3 linked regions of the Neurospora crassa OR74A genome follow. Each later gene encodes a partner of the first gene's protein in a complex. Links are inferred from orthologs where the notes say so. Each region holds a gene or a part of one and is shown in the gene's direction. Other genes may lie near its edges.

What was found.
Region 2: NCU04009 (region 1) and NCU02256 share a complex: the UniProt entries of both Saccharomyces cerevisiae proteins name them as parts of the RNA exosome complex. The link is inferred for Neurospora crassa OR74A from reciprocal best matches to the Saccharomyces cerevisiae genes RRP4 and RRP6.
Region 3: NCU04009 (region 1) and NCU00334 share a complex: the UniProt entries of both Saccharomyces cerevisiae proteins name them as parts of the RNA exosome complex. The link is inferred for Neurospora crassa OR74A from reciprocal best matches to the Saccharomyces cerevisiae genes RRP4 and RRP45.

The regions. Positions count from the first base shown.
Region 1 is NC_026506.1:2,432,387-2,436,116, reverse strand, and holds NCU04009 (exosome complex exonuclease Rrp4), read left to right. Parts: upstream 1-1,455; 5' UTR 1,456-1,738; coding exon 1,739-2,902; 3' UTR 2,903-3,204; downstream 3,205-3,730. Other genes in the region: NCU04010 (malonyl CoA-acyl carrier protein transacylase), read right to left, coding at 1-65, 136-325; NCU04008 (mitochondrial ATPase), read right to left, coding at 3,210-3,730. UniProt on the Saccharomyces cerevisiae protein: Non-catalytic component of the RNA exosome complex which has 3'->5' exoribonuclease activity and participates in a multitude of cellular RNA processing and degradation events.
Region 2 is NC_026507.1:3,162,842-3,167,261, reverse strand, and holds the start of NCU02256 (exosome complex exonuclease Rrp6), read left to right. Parts: upstream 1-1,550; 5' UTR 1,551-1,683; coding exon 1,684-2,261; intron 2,262-2,320; coding exon 2,321-2,654; intron 2,655-2,709; coding exon 2,710-4,266; 3' UTR 4,267-4,420. Other genes in the region: NCU17251 (hypothetical protein), read right to left, coding at 514-515, 571-664, 733-809, 871-908, 961-1,001. UniProt on the Saccharomyces cerevisiae protein: Nuclear-specific catalytic component of the RNA exosome complex which has 3'->5' exoribonuclease activity and participates in a multitude of cellular RNA processing and degradation events.
Region 3 is NC_026503.1:3,487,005-3,490,456, reverse strand, and holds NCU00334 (3' exoribonuclease), read left to right. Parts: upstream 1-1,384; 5' UTR 1,385-1,453; coding exon 1,454-1,620; intron 1,621-1,701; coding exon 1,702-2,428; 3' UTR 2,429-2,911; downstream 2,912-3,452. Other genes in the region: NCU00335 (pre-mRNA-splicing factor cwc15), read right to left, coding at 112-900, 992-1,024; NCU00333 (ADP-ribosylation factor family protein), read right to left, coding at 3,230-3,452. UniProt on the Saccharomyces cerevisiae protein: Non-catalytic component of the RNA exosome complex which has 3'->5' exoribonuclease activity and participates in a multitude of cellular RNA processing and degradation events.

The DNA.
Region 1 (3,730 bases):
GGAAGTTGTCGAGGGAAAGGCTTCTAGCCAGGGCGTGAGCATGCCGACTCTTTGGACGCCTTGGCCTGTATATCTCATGGCTGTCAGCATCGTTCTCTGTTCAAAGCAGGACAGCGCACTACTACTACTACGAACCTGGAAAGAAGATGGCCGTCTTTGGCCGCGTGTCTGGTACCGGGAGATGTGTCGCATGTCCTCTACGCTGCCGTACCGCTACCGAGCGCGGTAATGGTGATATCCTGAGGGGTATTTTTGTGGTGACATTGTTGCATGTGAAAGGAGGAAGCGCAAGCGCAGGCCGACGAAGGGGCCCTCGCAAAGGCATATCGGTGTATATGGACCTGGAAACCTCGATTGGTGCCCGTCCCAGGCCGTCCGTCCGTTCGGTCCGTCCGATCTACCGCGTAGTGTAGTGAATCGGTTTCGGAATCTTGGTCTGGTTTCACTGACAGTCTTGGGATGATCCACCGCTATGGTTCCCGATATGTAGTCGATATCCGATCGGCGCCAATCCGAGTAGCACACGGTTATGTCGTAGTCTGGTGGAATCCGACGTCGTGGTAGATGACGTGAATCTCGAATTCAAACAAGTCAGGTATGTTTGACGGCGTGAACCCGCAGCAAGTAAACAATGGGAGCAAATCAAAGAGCAGGACGGACGGGACTACTAATGGCCGTTCAAAGGGATGCCAGCAACTGGTGGAAGAACACGGGATGATCGGCTTTCAACGGTAGCAACAGTAAGGGCCTCCCGGGCAAGTAGGGACGGGTGTATCCTGCAAGAAGTGGAAGCTCGAGAGTGCTGTGTAAGCAGGTACGGACACTGAATCGCGGTAGGTAGGGGCTTACGAGGGCGGTCGAGTCGGTCATCAATGGAAATCTCGCTCTCACTCAACAAACCGCCCTGGAAATCGACAACCGCGGCCGGGAGTGGATCACGCCAGCCAGCGCCCGGGTGGCCCGTTGTCCCGGGGTCTCGGCTTTGTGGAGAAGGTGGGTGGGGTAGTTCCGAACGTCGCAATCTGGATCCATGGCACCTCCAATCGTTGTCACTGGGGCAGGCACTTCACACCTATTCAACGATGACACCCGTCATTGCTGCAGCAGTAGTGTACCTACCTACCGAAGGACCTGACGTGCGACGTCGCCTGGGCTGCCACTGGTGCGGCTACAATACTGTTGGCTTTCAATTTGCAGTAGAAGTAGGTTTGAGGAGGAAAAGGTCCCAGATCCACTCATTGTAGTTACATAAGGTAGTGTAGTTGCTAGATAAAAACCTCAAGGACGCGGACGGGAGGAGGTAAGTACCTGCCCAGCACCTACACAGTACCTGAGTACCTACGTACTTTGCGTGGTGTACCTGCACTGCATGTGCCTCTATTTTGTGCCCGTGCACGACGACAGGCACAACAAAGGCCCCACCAACCGTGTAAAGTTCAATCGTCAATACCGTATCGATTTCAATATCAGAATTTCCAATACGCAAACATTTGAACGTCAACTCATCAACTCCAAAGGGAACTAAGCAACTGGAAGGCCCATACAACATCCTTTGAGGCCACAAGACGAATCGACACAAACAACAAACTTCTGCAGGTCAGGATAGTCACATAGTAGAACTTGAGATTCGAGAAGGTCGACAACGGAACCAGGAAGGAAGGATTCATTCGGACCTTCATCACACCAACAAACACTCAACGTTGAGATCGCCATTTCACACCATCCACAACCACACAACATGCCCATCACAATCCTCCCACCTAAAGCCTTCCGGGACCAACCACCCCGCCACAGCCTCAACCATGACTCCGACGACGTAATGTCCGACGCCACCTCCGACTCTGAAGACTCCGACTCCCAACCGGGCGGCGTCTCTCTCGACGGCGGCGCGACCATCCACCCTCGTAAGCGTCATCGCTCCGGCGCCGGCGCAGCCGCCTCCTCTACCTTCACCAAGCGCCCCAAGACCAACGCTGCCATCAACTCCATCCCGCGCTCCGCCATCGTCACCCCCGGCGAGCGCATCACCACGGACCCCCAATGGATGCGCGGCCACGGCACCTACCTCTCCTCGGCCTCTTTGGGTGAACAAGCCATCACCTCCTCGCTGGCCGGCATCGTGACGCGCACCAACAAGCTTCTTTCCGTCCGCCCTCTGCGCGCCCGCTACACGCCCGAGGTCGGCGACTTGGTAGTCGGCCGCATCGTCGAAGTTCAGGCAAAACGGTGGCGGGTCGACGTCGGGTCCACGCAGCTCGCTGCTTTGCCTCTTTCCGCCATCAACCTTCCTGGTGGCATTCTCCGCAAAAGAACGGAGACGGACGAGTTGCAGATCCGCACTTTCTTTGCCGAGGGGGATCTGGTGGTGGCCGAGGTGCAGCAGCTCTTCCAAGATGGTGGTGCGGTGCTGCACACGCGCTCGCTCAAGTACGGCAAGCTGAGGAACGGGGTGTTCATGGCTGTTTCTGGCACGGGCGGCGGTGGAGGCGTGGTCAGATCGCGCAGACAGGTGTGGACGCTGGAGAGTGCGAATAATGGCGGTCCGATTGATGTGATTTTGGGCGTCAATGGCTATGTCTGGATCTCAAAGCATGTGGAGCCTGTGGTTCCCGAGGAGGCGAAGGGCCAGACGGGCATTACGAACCTCGAAGAGGTGGTTAGTGCTACCATGTATTCGAGCCAGAATGACAGGATCGAGCCCGAGACAATGAGGGAAATTGCGAGGATTAGGGGCGTGGTAACGGCGCTGGTGGAGAATGGATTGCGGGTGGATGAGGATATGGTTACAAAGGGGTATAATGAGGCCGTGGAGCTGGCGTTGGTGAGCGCGGATGGGCCCGAGGATGTGTATTTGGGTGGTGAGAGAGGAGAGCAGCTTGCTGCTGCTTTGACGGCTGTCTAGGTCTAGTTCTAGCTGGGTCTAGGGGCTCGTGTAGTAATGCATTCGGGAACCCAAGAAGAAACAAAATGCTTCCCTATTTGATGGGGTCGCCAATCAGCTTTGAGCCGTTGAAGAGCTTCCATTTATGCAAAACACGACGCTGGTGGTGGCTTGTGAAGCCTCAAAGCCACTTTGATCACAAAATATGGCGGTATCCGGGGAAGTATATCACATAATAGCTTACAAGTCTGCATAGACCACTCGTAAGAGTACATGTAATCATCTTCAGAGCATCTACATGAAAACCAACATCCAACCGTCACCCCCATCACCTCTTCCCCTCCTTCATCTCCCTAACCCTAAACCTCTCCAACCCCACCGGTTCCTCCAGTACCGTCGACTCCCCCATCACAATCTCCGTTTTCTCCTTCGGCCCCGCATTCAACCTCACCAACGGTGATTCCAACGGCTTGCTAACCTCCTTGCCCTCCCAATGCCTCGCCTCCTTGGGCAGCGGCTGCCACCAACCCTCATCGGTCCTAGCATGCCACTGCCTGCTGCACAGCTCCCACAACCGGCTCGTCGCTCTTTTGTACGCAAACCGCTCGTCCTGGCCCGTGAACGCCGAGACGGTCTGGTTGAAGTCCACCTTGCGCGTCAGCGACACTTGCTGCTCCTTACCGAAATCCGAATCCTGGTCCGGGTCATACTCGGAAATGTTTGGACGAAAAGGGGCGATGGAGTCTTGGAACACTTCAGCAATGGTTTCGGAGTAGGTTGCGTCGCCTTCTACTACTGCTGCTGCTACCTGCTCGGTTCCATTGCCCGTGCTTTGTGTTGTTGTTGATG
Region 2 (4,420 bases), on another chromosome or scaffold:
CAGACTCGCGCTGAAGTTTATCGAAGCAGTTTAGGCAGTATTACAGGGAGTGTGGAGCGTTCTAAGTTCTAGCGCCCAGAAGCCAGAGTCCCCGAGCGCAACCCGACCTGGCTGCGACTGCACGGCACTCTGTAATGAACCGATTGGATGTTGGGGAGGATCCACTTCTCAAGGACGGGAAACCTTATTTGGAAGGGGAACATTCAACCGACTTGAAGTCATCCATGGCTTCCGTCCATAACAGAGAGCACTGAAAACAACTCAACAGAAGATATAATCAGAAAGGTACAGTCAAAGACCAGCGGGTGACACTTTTGGTACATGGGCTTTGTTCAAGACATGGAGGGTGTGCATAATGGAAAGTCCTTCCACGAATACCAGGCGATATATGATATATACGGAGAAGAGATAATTGAGCAATGTAAGGAGAATAACTGGATTGTTGCGGCTTTGTTCAAGGAGTTGGTCGACGAGTGGTACAGTAAGGTACTCAGACGTCGTCCAGCTCTGGTATTCTGAGCAAGTCAGTCATCCTTTCAACTTTGGCCATGTTCGTAAGCTCAAACTCACATTTTTTCTTGCCCATGTATGTTGAGTCGCTGTCCTTGAGTTCTTCCCGCGCCTCTTCAAGCAGCTTGTCGATGCCACGCTCTTTCAAAGCAACCTGTAAAATGCCATATGGTAAGCTATCTCGATGCTAGAGTACGGGCGCTGTATGGTTTTGCGTCCTACCTGCAGGCAAGAGCTATACTCCTTGAAGAGAATTGAACATTCGTTATTTTGTTCGGTACCATTGCCCCTAAGGTATTCTGTCCAGTATAAGTATCACACATGTCCACTGAGTTGGGGTGTCTGTTCCTGTAGACTTACTCTCACTGTACCATTTGAGAAAGCAAGTGTCGTAACGTCTACAACTGGTTAAGATGTTGTTTTCTTTCCGTATGAAGGACAAAAACTTACTCCTTGGCCTCGTTGCATTCCTTGGCGAGTGACTGGGACATCTTTAAAGTCCAGAGCTATGTTTTCAACCGTAGGTGTTGCCAACAAAACGATAGGCTTGGTACGGTGTCCGATGACTTATGGGTATCGACGGTATATCTATGTTTTGGGCAAAAGATCGTATAGAAGGGTGTTCGTGAGATACTCCAGGTGAATATTTTTGGTGGAAAAGACGGTTGTACGGAATCTCAAATATCAACGTTCACCGGTGAGTCCGCTTGGAAACCAACAAGTACCAGGTGCTATTCAACAATGGGGTTGCGGACTTCCACTTCGTCACAGGACGGATCTCAAAAGCCTGGACGCCGATGGATGAACGAACGTTGGTGGTCCAGATCAGCACAATCTTGGCTCTTGGCAAGCGCCCCCTTGGCCTTATGTAATCGGCTGCCCAAAGTCTCTCTACTTTAGTGCTTCTACTTCCCAGCATGGGCCATCAGGTACCTCTACCAGCGCAGAGCGGGAACAGCTCACTCGAGGCCCACTTGATGGCATCCATCGGGCAGCTTCCACTTTTCGAGGTCCCGTTCACTTTGGCGCTTTCTCCACAAGCCACATGCTGGGACTGTCCGCAAAAAAAGTTCCCAAAGAGCAGCAGAACGACAAACCATTTTTGGAAAATTGAACCGGGCTTCCACTTCCAGTGACGTCCACACCACAACGACTCCAGAACCACCGGCCAATATGGACGGCTCACTGGACTTCAAGAGCTTGAGGGAATCGCTCCAAGCCGCCCTGGTCGCTACGACCCGAACCGCCAACTCAATCGCCAGCGAGGATCTTCAGTTCCAGCGCACCGTCAACCCGACTGTCGGTGGTCAACTCGACAACAGCTCCGGCCGCCTTCTGTCCCTGGCCAACGGGCTCCTCAAGTCGACCGCGAATCTTACCGGCCAGAAGGTTGGCGCTCTTGAAGATGCCGACGACGTGGACATCCAATGGCGGAACATTGTCGACGTGATCGACTCGTTGCTCGAGAAAGCCGACACCTGCCTCGACGAGTACACCGGATTGATCAAGCGGAAGGATGCGCCTACCCCCGCCGACCAGGGCCGCGCCCAAAAACGCGTCAAGTCGTCTAACGATCGTCTTGACTGGTCCTTGAAGAGAGCCAACATTCTCAAACCACAGAATAACTTCGAGAAGAAGGTCGATAACTTCGCTACCGGTCCTTGGAAGCCTCTGTTGTCGTCCAAGCCTCATGCCAAGGTGTCACTGGAAGACAGCCTGACCACCTTTGTCGATGATGACAACAACACACAGTACGTCTAACCTTTCTTTCCAATATCATAAGAGCATGTCGCTAACATGAATCTCCCAGATACAAACACCCCTACGAAACCGAGATCAAGACGACACCGTACCCTGAGCATGTGTACAAGAAGCGCGAACCCAAGGAGTACCTTCCTATCGATTCGACATCCGCCATCTGGGTTGATACTTATGAGGGCGTCTTGGAGATGTTGGAGGAGCTCAAGCAGGCCAAGGAAATTGCGCTTGATCTGGAGCACCACGATTTTAGGTCTTACACCGGACTGTTGTCTCTCATGCAGATCAGTACCAGAGAGAAGGATTGGGTCATTGATACTCTTCAACCTTGGAGGCACAAGCTTGAGGTTCTGAATGAGGTTTTTGCGAACCCCAACATTGTCAAGGTGAGACACATCCTGGCCTTCTGCTTTCACTGTATTATCGACTAACTTGACCCAGGTTCTTCACGGTGCTTTCATGGATGTCATCTGGCTGCAGAGAGATCTTGGTCTCTACGTTGTAGGTCTCTTCGACACATATCATGCTTGCGCCGTTCTCGGGTACCCTGGAAGGAGCTTGGGTTATTTGCTTAGCAAGTTTGCCGAGTTCGAAGCCGACAAAAAGTATCAGCTTGCGGACTGGCGCATCAGACCTCTCCCCGAGGAGATGTTTTACTATGCGCGGTCGGATACCCACTACCTGCTCTACATCTTCGACATGATCATCAACGAGCTCGTGGAGCGCTCAACACCCGGAAAGCCGAAGCCTGACCTTCTCGAGCAGGTCCTCGAGAGGTCCAAGGATGTCGCCCTGCAACGATACGAGAACCTTAGCTACAACGTCGAAACCGGCCAGGGACCCCGCGGGTGGTATAATGTGCTGTTGAAGTCCCCAACGCTCTACAACGGCGAGCAGTTTGCCGTCTACAAGGCCGTACATCAATGGCGTGACAACTTGGCTCGTCGTGAGGACGAGAGTCCCTTCTTCTTTATGACACAGCAGGTTCTGGCCGACATTGCCCGGATACTCCCGACCGACAAGAAGGCTCTGTGGAGTATTCTGGATAGCAACGCCAAGGGCCTCAAGTCTCATTTGGATGATCTATTCGACGTCATTCAAAAGGCTAGGGAGGAAGGTGTGAACGGTCCCAAGATGATGGATATCTTCAAGAGCGAGTCATCTATCCTCGCCCCCGCCAAGATTGCTGCGGTCATCGCCGACGATAGCGACATTCCGGACGTCAAGGAGCTCAAAGCTGACCGGTCACAATTTTGGGGCGGCGTCACTCTGAGCTCAGTCTGGGACGGCACGGCTGCGAAGACTGCCAAGCTTGACGACGTGTTGGAAATCACCCTTCCGTATCCGGCCGACTTCATGGACGGATCTACGGCTGAGATGGAGGTGGATCAACCAGAAGAGGCGGTGCCAGAGCCCCAGCCGGCGCCGGAAGAGGTGATAGTCAACCAGGAATTCACTCTTAGGAACGGAGGCAAGCGCAAGCGCGAGGAAGAGTCTGAGGAAGAAGAGGAGGCCTCAGATGCCGAAATGGAGGATTCCGCGCCTCAGACCGAAACCGACGTGCAAACCGGTGGTGAAGCCGAAGGTGACGACTCCGACGAGGAAGAAGAGGAGGAGGAGGAAGAGGCAAGCGACAAGTCATCCAAGAAATCCAAAAAGGCAGCCAGGAAAGCGGCCAAGGAGAAGAAGAAGCAGGCCAAGGAAGCTCTCAAGGCCCAGCGAAGGGCAGAGAAGGCCGCCAAGAAGGAAGCAAAGAAGAAGGCGCAGGAAGAAGCTGCTGCTGCCGCTAAGCAGGCGGAGGGCGAGGAGAAGGAAGATCAGCCGTTTGATTACTCTCAGGCTGCGTCGGTGTTGCGTGCTCGCAAGACTCAGGAGGACGTCAAGAAGGCGAATAAGAGGTTTAACCCGTATGAAAACAAGTCTCAGGGAGGACCCAAGGGCGCAAGAGCGCATTACACGGCCAAGGCGGCTGGCAGGACGGCTACCTTTAAGAAGTGAGGAGCCGGCGGATGAGGAAGATGGAGGGCAAATAGGATAGATTATGGAACGATCAGTGCTGTGTTGGCCATTGATGCCACTTATTTTTTTTACTTGGACTATTATTATCGCGGTGCGTTTTAGTATATGCGACAGGAGAAGAGAAAGAGATGGC
Region 3 (3,452 bases), on another chromosome or scaffold:
TCCGCTCTGGGTATCTTCGCTCCTCTCCTCTCTCCGCCACTGCGCAATCTTTCCCCAGCGGCAGCAACGGCAGCAACAAGCCCCCAACCTCAAACTCCTCTTTCTCCTCCCTCAACGAACGTACTTGCTCATAAACCGCCTATGGAAGTCGCTCCTCAACAAATCATTGACAAACTCCTTCTTCTTATTCCTATCGTCCACACCCCTCGCCTGGTTCTTGAAGACCACGTCGTCGTCCCACCTCCTCTTGACCGTAAAGTCCGGCTTGTTCAGCAGCGGGTTCCCGAGCGCTATGTCCTTCTCGCGCTGTTCTTCTTCGGCCTTTTGGCGCTCAAGCTCCTCGCGCTCGCGCTTCTCTTGACGCTCGCGACGCACGCGCTCGAGTTCCCGCTGGAGTTCGGCTTCTTCGTCGTCTGAGTCGGAGTCGGAGTCGGAATCAGAATCGGAGGAGTCTGAAGAGGCGTCGTCGTCATCTTGGTTCTTCTGGGCTTTTGGTGATTTGGCATCGGCGTCATCGGCATCCGCGTCGTCGTCATCAACATCATCAGAAGAATCATCCGCATCAATCTCCCTCGTCAACTCTAATATCCTTCGTCGCTTCGCTTCTTGGTCTTCCTCCTCTTTGTTGTGATCACCGCCCGTCAAAGCCAATGGGCGCTTGGTTCCCGCCTTCTCGTTATCGACATCGTCATCACCAGAGGTAAGAGCAGGTCCGCCCCTCAACTTGGCCTTGTGCGCCTCCTCGGCAGCCAGCAGCTCAGCGCGCAGGTCGCGCGTGTCGCGCTCTTCAGATGCCCCCGCAACGCCGCCTTGGCCGGGCTTGCGGAACTTGAGCTGGGTGTAGGCGGGTAGGAGACGCTGGTGGTAGGCGGGACCGCGGAGGGCTTCTTTGCCTTTGGCCTGGTTTTGAGAAGAATGGATGTTAGTGGGTGCACGAGAGGATGGCGGGATTGGTTGGGGATGAGAAGGATGAGGGTGGTGGGATGCGTACCGGGTCGAAGGTAGGTCTGTGAGCTGTGGTCATTCTGGCGGCTTGGTTCGGTTACGCAGTTCTTTTCTTGAGTTGATAGATGATGCCGGTGCGTGAGAGATGAAGCGCGCGCAATAGAGGGCGAGATGGGCCGTGATTTGTTGAGGGGTGTTGGAAGTGGAAATTGCTGCAGAGGGAAGTAAAGTTGTTCCTGATTTGAAGCAATGGCTCTGAAGTCTGAAGAAGGAACTGGCTGGCAGTAGTGGTACAAATGGATCCAATGACGCCCTGGGGTTCAGTCTCGCAGGCGCACTTCTTGACCGCCAGCGGCAAAACCCGCCAAATTCTGGCGGACTTTAGTGGCAGAAACGGTGACCATAGCGACTGCAACTGCAGCACCTACCTAACCAGTGATGTTGCCCGATTCTTTAGATCCGCAACCACGTATTTTCAAAGGGAAAAAGTAAACAAACCTCAGTCAACATGCCCAGAGAAGCAGAACCGTCAGCCAACGAGAAGGCCTTTCTCTTGAAGGCGCTTCAAGACGAACAGATTCGCCTCGATGGCCGTGAATTCGACCAATACCGTCCACTAGAGCTCACGTTTGGAGACGAATATGGCGTCGCCAATGTATCGCTTGGCAAGACAAAGTACGTTTGTGTACTCTCACCACCACCACGCATATCCTACCCCTGAGGCACCAAGATACTAACCGGGACTCCCATCTTTAGAATTCTTGCCAAAGCCTCCGCCGAAGTAACAGTCCCCTTCGCCGACCGCCCGCTCGACGGCATCTTCACCATCGCCACCGAACTCTCCCCCATGGCCGCGCCTCACTTCGAAGTGAACCGGCCCACCGAAACCGAAGTGCTGCTCTCGCGCCTGCTCGAAAAGACGGTCCGGCGCTCCGGCGCCCTCGACACCGAGTCGCTCTGTCTGGTCGCGGGGCAAAAGTGCTGGTCCGTCCGGGTCGACGTGCACGTGCTTTCGCACGACGGCAACCTGACCGATGCGGCCTGCTTCGCCGTCGTCGCCGCCCTTCGCCACTTCCGAAAGCCCGACACCAGCATGGAGAATGGCGTGCTGACGGTGTACACGCCTGCGGAGCGGGAGCCGGTGCCGCTGGGCTGGCTGCACTCGCCTTTCTGCGTGACGTGGAGTTTCTTTGGCGAGGAGGGTGAGACAGCGTTGTTGGATGCGGATTGGATGGAGGAGCAAGTCAGGGTCGCCAGTGTCACGATTAGTTTGAACAGGCACGGAGAGATCTGCCAGATCGCGAAGCTCGGGGGTGTACCGGTCGAGGCAGTTGCGCTACTGCAGTGTACCAGCGTGGCGCTGACGAAGGTGAAGGAGTTCTCCACTTACTTGGATGACAAGTTGGCGGAGGACGCAAAGAGGAGGGATAAGGGTGGGTTTATGGCTGAGTTGAGGGCGGAGAATGATCGCATTGTTGGGTGAAGCGGTTGAGGACGTAAGAGGAAGAAGTGAGATACCCAGGTACGGCCATAGAGCCAAGCAGAACAACAAGGCTGTGTGGTTGAAGGCGAAACCTGACGAGGATATGGGACAGCTCTACAGCTGGTCTCTTTACTTTTCTCAGTCAAAAGAGAACGGCAAGAATTGTCCAAGAGGCAAGTCACTCCGCGGAATGGGCTCTATTATTATGATGGGGGGCGCCGCGAGTGCCGTATCCTCCCTCATGTCTAAAGGGAGTTATCCCGTTAGCGGCGACCGAAATTGCCATCTAACGTTACACAGTGTATCTCGCCATCAGCTCAGTCCCCAAGTCCTCATCTGCCGCTAAAGCTGCCAGATGAATGAGGTGAAAGCATTGGCGCCAGGTAACCACAGGGTCCTAGCCTCTATCTCTGGACGCAATGAGCTCCAAACTTTAGTTTAGACCAAGCCTGAGCCCTAAATTTGCTTCTACGCCACTCCCCCCACGATCCAATCTTGCCCGAATCTGAAGTGATTTGATCTGATGGCAGGGTAATCTCGCGTGATGGCAGGGTGTTGTAGGTCTTTTTGGAAGAAACCTGCGTGATCACGTACCGCTCCTGGCCTAGTTCTTAAGTCTTCCAGGAAGCGATATTGATCCTCGACGGCAGGCAAGATCCAAGCATTGCCTGCCGAACCCAAAGGGAGGATTTGGCTCCCACATAGAATCCTCTGCCCCGGCGCTGTCGATGTTCGTCGATATTGGTCGCGAACGTGGGTTATGTCATGAATTGGTCTTTCATCATCAACCGCTCCCGCTTCTCACCGCATAACCGGCGGCCTCGACTCCTTGTTCCACTTTACCCTTGACCTAACCCACTCCACCGCCTCCCTCACGCCCGTCCCCGTTAGTGCCGACACCGGCAACACCCTCGAGTCTCTGATACTTGCGCTCTTCTCGCCCTCGAAGACCTTCTTTACCAAGCCTTCCTTGATCCGCACCACCTCTACGCAGTCTTCCCGGTCCTGCTTGTTCGCCAATATC